Notamacropus eugenii: one gene and its partner. The protein of the gene in region 2 interacts with the protein of the main gene of each other region in a pairwise test. Links are inferred from orthologs where the notes say so. Each region holds a gene or a part of one and is shown on either strand. Other genes may lie near its edges.

Region 1 (3,752 bases), on a different chromosome or scaffold from region 2:
ATATCAAGAGAGTTTGGAGAGGTAGGTTGGCTCCAGATTTTGGTATCAGGCCAAGGACTTTGTATTCTATTCTGTAGACAATAGGGAGCCAAGAGGTTCAGAGGGAGATGATTTTGACAGTTGTGTAGAGCATTGACAGAAATGGATCTCTGTAATTGGCATATTGACTTAGAAAACCCCAAATTCATATTATTCATGTTGAATTCTATTCTTATTTATTTTGTTAAACTTTTCCCAATTACATTTTCGTCTGGTTCAGGTTGCACTGGAGAGCTGTGTTGGTGTGGGCTGAGTCTGCCACCTCTGGTGTAGAGGATAGATCAGAAAGGGGAGTAACAGGAAGAAGGGAGGTCATTGAGGCAAGAGAGGGGCAAGGACCCGAATTGGGATAGTGACCCAATGAGGAGAGAGAAGGTGGTGGACACAAGAGAGGCGTGGGAGTAGAAGCACTGAAGACTAAGCAACTTACTGGATATGGTGGATGAGGGAGAGGGAGGAGTGGAAGCTGACTCAGTGGAGATGAATTTTAAGAGCTAAGAGGATGGAAGTGCTCTCAACCAAAAAAGGGGGGGTGGGAAATTTGTTGAATTTAATATCAATCTAAGAAAAATAGAATTAGGAAGATTAGTCTGCTGCAAAATGGGACAAGAAAGAAAGGACAGAAGGAATAATAATAACTGACATTTACACAGCACTTAAAAATTTAGGAGCAAAGATAATGAATTCCTTTTTTGGAAGGGTTGAGCTAGAGATGTCTACGGGACATCCAGGAGGAGACAGTCAATAGGCAGTTGATCCTGGGCGACTGGAATTCAAGAGGGGATTAGGGCTGGATCGATAGACTGGATAAATACTCGCTGACTGATGGGCCCATTACAAGCTTGTGTCTATACATGATTGAAACAATAATCCATTTAGAAAGGAAAATCAAACAATCTGGCTGCTTACTGCAGTACAAACCAAAATGAATAGTGATTGGCTGAATTTGGGGCTTTTCTACCTGTTGACTGGCCATCCTAGAAGAAATTAAGGCAAGGCTACCTATGCTTGCTGACTTAAAAGATGGTGTGCTACTGCTTTCCTACTCACTTCTTTGACACTATTTCCCAACTGGCCCAGTTTTTTCTTTTCAGAATAATGCTGTGTGAGCAAACACTCTACTAGCTCTTTCAACATCCCATGACTGTCCTGACCCTCACTTGTCTCCTTAAGCTGCCCTGCATTGGCTAATCTTTGCCCATCCTCTGTCCTCCAGCAGAGGGAAGAAGGAAGAAAATCTTTCATCTGTGTCTTTGTATTCTCAGCATCTGAACTATTCTGAGTGAGGGAATCAGTAGTCAGGCTTGTGCCTTAGGAAGATTATTTGGGGTACTGGTGAAGGATGGATTGGTGAGGGGAGAGACCAGTTAGGATGCTGTTCTAATACTCTAAAACAGTTGTGATGGAGACAGTAGGGGCAATGTGGAGGAGATCAGAGGTATAGTCATATACTTTATGGAAATCCTTCTTTTTTTTAAGAGGGGAGATGGAGACCAGACCTATGACTTTATTGGTATAAGGAATTCTCAGGGAAGAAACCTCCTCTACCAATCCAGGTCAGCACCTCCTCTGCAACTTCTCAGAGGTTATGACTTGCCCAGAGTCACATAGATAGTAGGTGTCAGAGGTTGGATTTGAACCCATGCCTGCCTGATTCCGAAACCAGCTTCCAATCCACTGTACAGGCTACTTCTCAGTAAATGTAGAATGAGGATGGGGCAGTAGAGTATGAAATCAGATAAATAGTTTAAAAAAATATATATATATGTAAATAGATTTGTTCATTTGTATATGGATGCAGTTTTTCCCAGATGGCTTGGCTCCAGCTTTCCCTTCCTTCCAGTATCAATGCCTGAGGTGCTAGGTAAGAGACACCAAAGGACTGTGTTGGTGGTGGGTGTGCTTCCTTTCCCAAGCCTTTTGGCCCCAGGGAAGCAGGGTCTGACCTCATGAGCCACCAGCTTGACTCACTCACCTGATGGTAAATGCTCTCCCAGGTCTCCCGCAGGGCTCCCCAGTTGCTGATGCTGGAGGCTTTCTTCTCTAAGTAGACCCGCAGATGTTCCTCTAGCTCCCTGTTCACCTGCTCCAAGGCTCGGACCTTCTCAATGTACTCTACCATGCAGCCATTCAGGGACTCAAAGAAGATGCCTCTGTTCTTTTCCAGTCCTGGGCTCAGAGCGAGGGCTGTGGATGAGCTCCTCAGACCCTGCAGAAAGACGCTGCTGATGCCCAGAGCCCGGCGGGACACTCGGGTGCCCAGGCTGCTCACTCCTCCAGTTGGCACTGACCCCACATACACCCCTGGGGGCCTGGGGAGGCTGCCTAGGTTGTTCCCTATAACACTGACCCGGCAGCCTGAGGCCCCTGGACTGTCAAGGCTGGTTGAGGAGTGGGACCCCAAGAACGAAGACCGACGCCTTGGGAAGGGCATGTTGGCACTGGAGCCTGTTGGGCACTGCCTCTCCCTTCTCTCATCCCCTGGCCCGAATGAGGCAATGATTTGTTGGAGGGGGCATTGTTTCTTTGTTTTCTGCCCCTCTGCCTCCACCCCCTCTGCCCCTGTTGCCTCTGGAAAGTTGTCAGCTCAGGGTCCTGGCCCCATTGTTCTGGGCCTTCCATGGCCTTCCTCATTCAGGGCAGCTGAAAGGAGATGCTTCTGGGACTAGGGCCTCTGCATAGCCAGACAATGAAGCGCTCCCCGGGCACTGGGTTGTGTCCATTCACTCATTCTCTGCCATGTCAGGACTTCAGGGATGTCTGATTTTTCTAGATAGCTGGCCCCTGGCTTTGGGGAGAGGGCAGCTTGGATTTGAGTTTGGATGGAAAAAAATGGGCCTATTTTCCATTTGTAGAGGGTACCAAGCCCTTTCACATCTAGGGAAACAAGGTTCTAGCTTCACAGATCTGGATGTCTCAATTACCTGAGCTCTGGAGTCAGAGGAGCTGAGTTCAAAATCCTGCCTCTGACACTTTGGGTCATAAATCTATGGAAGAGATATGAGAGGCCATCCCACCCTTTCATTTTTTCAGCTGAGGAAACAGTCCTGAAGAGCTGATGTGGTTTGTTCAGTGTCCTAGACGTAATAAATGGAAGAGCTGGGGTTAGAGTCCAGCCCCTCTGACTCTACATAGCAGTTTCCTCCAGATCATGTCACCTCGTCTATATCACTTCCTCTCCTCAGGCCTCAGTTTACTAATCTGTAAAATGAAGAGGCTGAACTAGATGACTCTGAATCTATGATCCTACGACTGGAAGTTAGAAAGAGACTCAGAGATCTTCCAGTCCAACCATTCTCATTTTACAAGCAAGGTAGTTGTGTGTGGGTCAAGGTTACAAATCAAAAAACTGTAAATATGAAAAACTGGAATTCAAACCCAGGGCTTCTGACTTCAAACCCAATGTTGTTCAGTTGTTTGAATCATGTCTGACTCTCTGTGACCCTATTTGGGGGTTTTCTTGGCAGAGATCTTGGAGTGGTTTGCCATTTCCTTCTCCAGCTCATTTGGCAGGAACATGTTCCTTTGTTGCCAAAGAAGACCATGCCATTAGAGATCCTGGGCCATCTCCAGTCATCCTGAGGAAAATCAGGTCACTGGATTCAGATGGCTCTGGAGGAGAAGTGAGGCCGGTGACCTGCACAGCCCTCCCTCACTCAAAACAAAGTCAAGTGCAAGTCATGTCATCATTTCTCTGATGGCATGGTCTTCTT
Region 2 (3,752 bases):
GGTTCTGCTACAAATGGAAGAACATCATGATATAAAAGACACTAGTTATTTAGATTGTGGTTCTAACTTTTAAAAGTCTATTCCAGAGATATAGAAAGAAATATGAGGCAATGACGTGTGAATTAATCTCAATGTGTATTTTCTAAAATGTCATATAAAGAGATTTCAGATAACAAACCTTTAATATATTCACTGAATTGATGTATTTGTACATCTTACCAAAAAATCTGATTACAGTAAATATAAGCACCTTACTTGGTAATGAATCCATGAAGTCCAAACAATAAATTTTTGTAGAGAATGAAGGTTATATTAATTTTATTATAAAAGCATTAAGATTTCAATTCAATGTAATTGTTTTCATTTTTAAAAAAAGAATCTAAAAAAACCCCATGTAATCCTTCACTCAAATACAAGGGTAATTTTAATTTCAACTAAAAAAAAATGACTATTCACTGTAACCTTAATTAACAAGATTAATTTAAACATTTGGTACTATAGAAAATGTAAGAATTGACTGACTCCAAAACCTTTATTAGCCTTTCATTGATAGGACCCCCCCTTTTTTTTTGCCACTGCAGAGAAATTAATAAAAGCACTAAAATATTCAAGTTCAAAACAAACGAAAAATAGTCAAAGGGCTAATGGGTACAAACTATAAAGTTAAAAATTAAGAATATTCACGACTTGAGTTAGCATGTACATTAACACATTTAAAACTGTGTTCCCTAACAAACAATACCAGTAATTAGGAACATCATAAACACTAACCTTAAGCAAAGATGACCATGCAAATTTTATGATTTAGCTTCTTGCAAAAGCAAATAATGACCTAAAGTGATACTATAAGTACTTTTGCTTTTATTCAAATCTCTAAATAATAACTCAAAAACACAGACAATTATCAATGTGGTCAGTATATTTTGATTAACCATCTAACTGACCTAATTTTTGATTGATATCATCTTCTTCGTGTCAGATACAAGTAATAATATTTACACATTTGACAGTGACGTATAATATGTAAATTTTACTCAAGGGACAATACAGGAACCGAGATTCTGGAAAACACATAAAAATATAATCTGCAGGAAATATGCTTTCGAAAATATCTCTGGAATGTGAAAACTTTTACATAATTCACTGCACTAACTTTCATATAATTTACTGCATGAACTTTCTTTTAAAATTCCACCTATCATACGAAAAAATTATCTCATTTGCAAATAACAGAATTTTGTGTAATTTCATATTTATAATAACCCATCTTAATTCACAATATTACGCTCTAACTGCTTTGTTTTTATCTTTTGTTTAAAAGAAGTTAGAATGGCTAAGGCCTAAAATGTTAACGTTTAAAATAAAATTCTTTTTTAAGTCATATCGTTTCAAAAACTTAAAAAGTATAATTATCAAGTACTTGAAAAAAACAGTCTGACTACGCATGCTGCTTAATGATTTCCACAAATAACTGCTCGAAATTTGGCTGAATATCACAAACTCTGGATGGATAAAAAGAAAAGTGAATTTTTTTCTTACCCCACACAAACACACTTTGCAAAAATAATCAGAAGAACAAAGCTACCATCACAAATCGGAAGCTTGGATTATTTTATGAACTTAGTTTATCACACTGATTATTAAGGCAACTGTTATCGGGTCCAGTACTTGGGAGACTTCTATTTGTTTTTAACAGCTAAAATGTTTTCTATGCTAATGAAAGGTCACTAACCAAAAAAAAAGACTGATGTCCAATTTCTATTTAGGTCATATAATTATAATTTAAATACGCCAAGATCTCCTAGTAGGAATTGAACAGATGGTTACAAGAAGTGCTTAATTTTTTTCTTTTAAACATGAGTTTTAAAAATGTAAATAAATAACCGGCTTTTAATTCTGCATTTTTAAGTAAAAATGATTGCCAAACACCGCGACTAAGTGGTCTTCCATTACCCAATTCGTCTTAACTACACCCAAGAGGCATCAAAAGTATCCTAGTCTCAAGATGAGTAAATAAGTTATTATTTTTTTTAATAAACGCTGTATGACTCCCTAGGCAAAAAAAAACGTAAACAAAAGTAGTATTCATTATATCAAATCACAAAAATAGCGGGGGAACAACCTTTCCCCAGAGAGGAGGCTTCTGCTGCCTCCGGGTTCCTTCTCCTCACAGAGGCTTAAGCGAAGCTTCTTCCACCTCAGACGCCCGATCCTGAGCTCCCCGCTCCGGCCGGCCCCACCGAGGGGGCTTAGCCGCCTTCCTCCTCTCCAGGCCTGGTTCTCTTGCCCACTTCTTCGCTCGCTGCCTTTCTTTTTCTCTTTTTTTGGGGGGGTGGGGGGAGAAGAAAGGGGAATCCCCCTAAGTCACCCCTCAAATGAGTGTTAAGAGAAATCTGAGCAGGTTTGTAGCAGCAGAGAAGTCCCGGTGGAACCCTAATGGTCTTGTAGTTGGGGCGGGAATCCCCAAAGCGCCCCCAAGCTCTGAGCCTCGGTCAACCCCCATTTCTGGTTAAAGGAGAGGAGAAAGGGAGAAGAGAGAAGGGAGGGAAAGAGGAGAGGGGGAGGAGAGGGAGAGAGGGAGAGAGGGAGAGAGGGAGAGAGGGAGAAAGAGAGAGAGAGAGAGAGAGAGAGAGAGAGAGAGAGAGAGAGACCGCCGTCATTTACCTGCCCTGTCAGGGTGCGAAGGGAGTGGAGGAAACCAACGAGCACCTCGCGGTAGAAGCTGAAGCTCTGATCCGGGTTCTTGTCAACGCCTCGGGGGTGCCCCGATAGCCCCACAGGAGCAGCCATGACACCTCCCCAACTGCTGCGGAGGTTCCTGTTGAGCCCCGCCCCCTTTCGCGCTTCAGTTTGCGTCGCGTTATAATGACGTCATCAGAAGCGGTCCTTACATTAAGCGCGGTGTTCTGGGGCTCCACCCCTTTCCATCTGACTGGCAAACAGGAGGACCAATCAGGTGATTGGAAGAAGCAGCTTTTCCAGCCCACTCCTGCCCAGTCTTCTTCCTTGCAGTCATTCTGTGCTTGGACTGTGAGAGGCAGAAGTCTAAACTGTAGTACCTTTTGTGGTATCTTACGTGTTAAAAGTTATGGGGTATTGTTTTTGTCTTAGTTTACTAAAACATTCGGACTGAATTGGCTCATGTTTTTACGTGGCAAGTGATGCAACTTGTTGATGGGAGGTGGAGATACACTCGGTTCCCTTTTTCTGCGACATATGCACTGGCCTCTTCCTTAAGGGACAGCAATTCCTGATTGGTCAGAGGAGGAGAATCTTGAAGATGATTGGCTACGGAGTCAGGGGGAGTAACAGCTTGTACTTTCCCTTGGAATTCTTCTGGGCATCCTCTTCTGGCCACAGATGCTCTGGTGTACTCCAAGTAATTTGCAGGGACTGCACATTTTGCCCTGAGGGGAGTATGTTAGAATATGGGGCACTTTTCACATTTTGCCCTTTTCAGATTTTGAGTATCATTTATATAGGAAAGGGATGGTAGTTTTGCCGTCTTTTAACACAATCAGTGACCTTGCATCTTGGGCCTAGATTGCTTCTGTACCTTTTCTCCATTCACTCATTTATTTTGGGATGTGAGAGAAACTTGAGATGAAAACTGGCAAATCCAGAACATTAGAACAGTTTTTGTAAGTATCCATAAAATAACCAGGTTATGGTCTGGCTTGGAGAAATGAAAATTTAGGAATCATATTGGATAGTAAATGTAAGCTAAGGTGTGTCTCTTAGCAAGGACACCA

What was found.
Region 1: the proteins of MBIP (region 2) and BFSP2 interact in binary tests that used the Homo sapiens proteins (3 or more experiments, as listed by UniProt). The two-hybrid records come from large-scale screens. The link is inferred for Notamacropus eugenii from reciprocal best matches to the Homo sapiens genes MBIP and BFSP2.

What each region holds. Positions count from the first base shown.
Region 1 is NC_092874.1:41,694,843-41,698,594, reverse strand, and holds the start of BFSP2 (phakinin), read right to left. Parts: upstream 2,474-3,752; coding exon 2,015-2,473; intron 1-2,014.
Region 2 is NC_092872.1:329,005,605-329,009,356, forward strand, and holds the start of MBIP (MAP3K12-binding inhibitory protein 1), read right to left. Parts: upstream 2,862-3,752; 5' UTR 2,791-2,861; coding exon 2,665-2,790; intron 1-2,664. UniProt on the Homo sapiens protein: Inhibits the MAP3K12 activity to induce the activation of the JNK/SAPK pathway. Component of the ATAC complex, a complex with histone acetyltransferase activity on histones H3 and H4.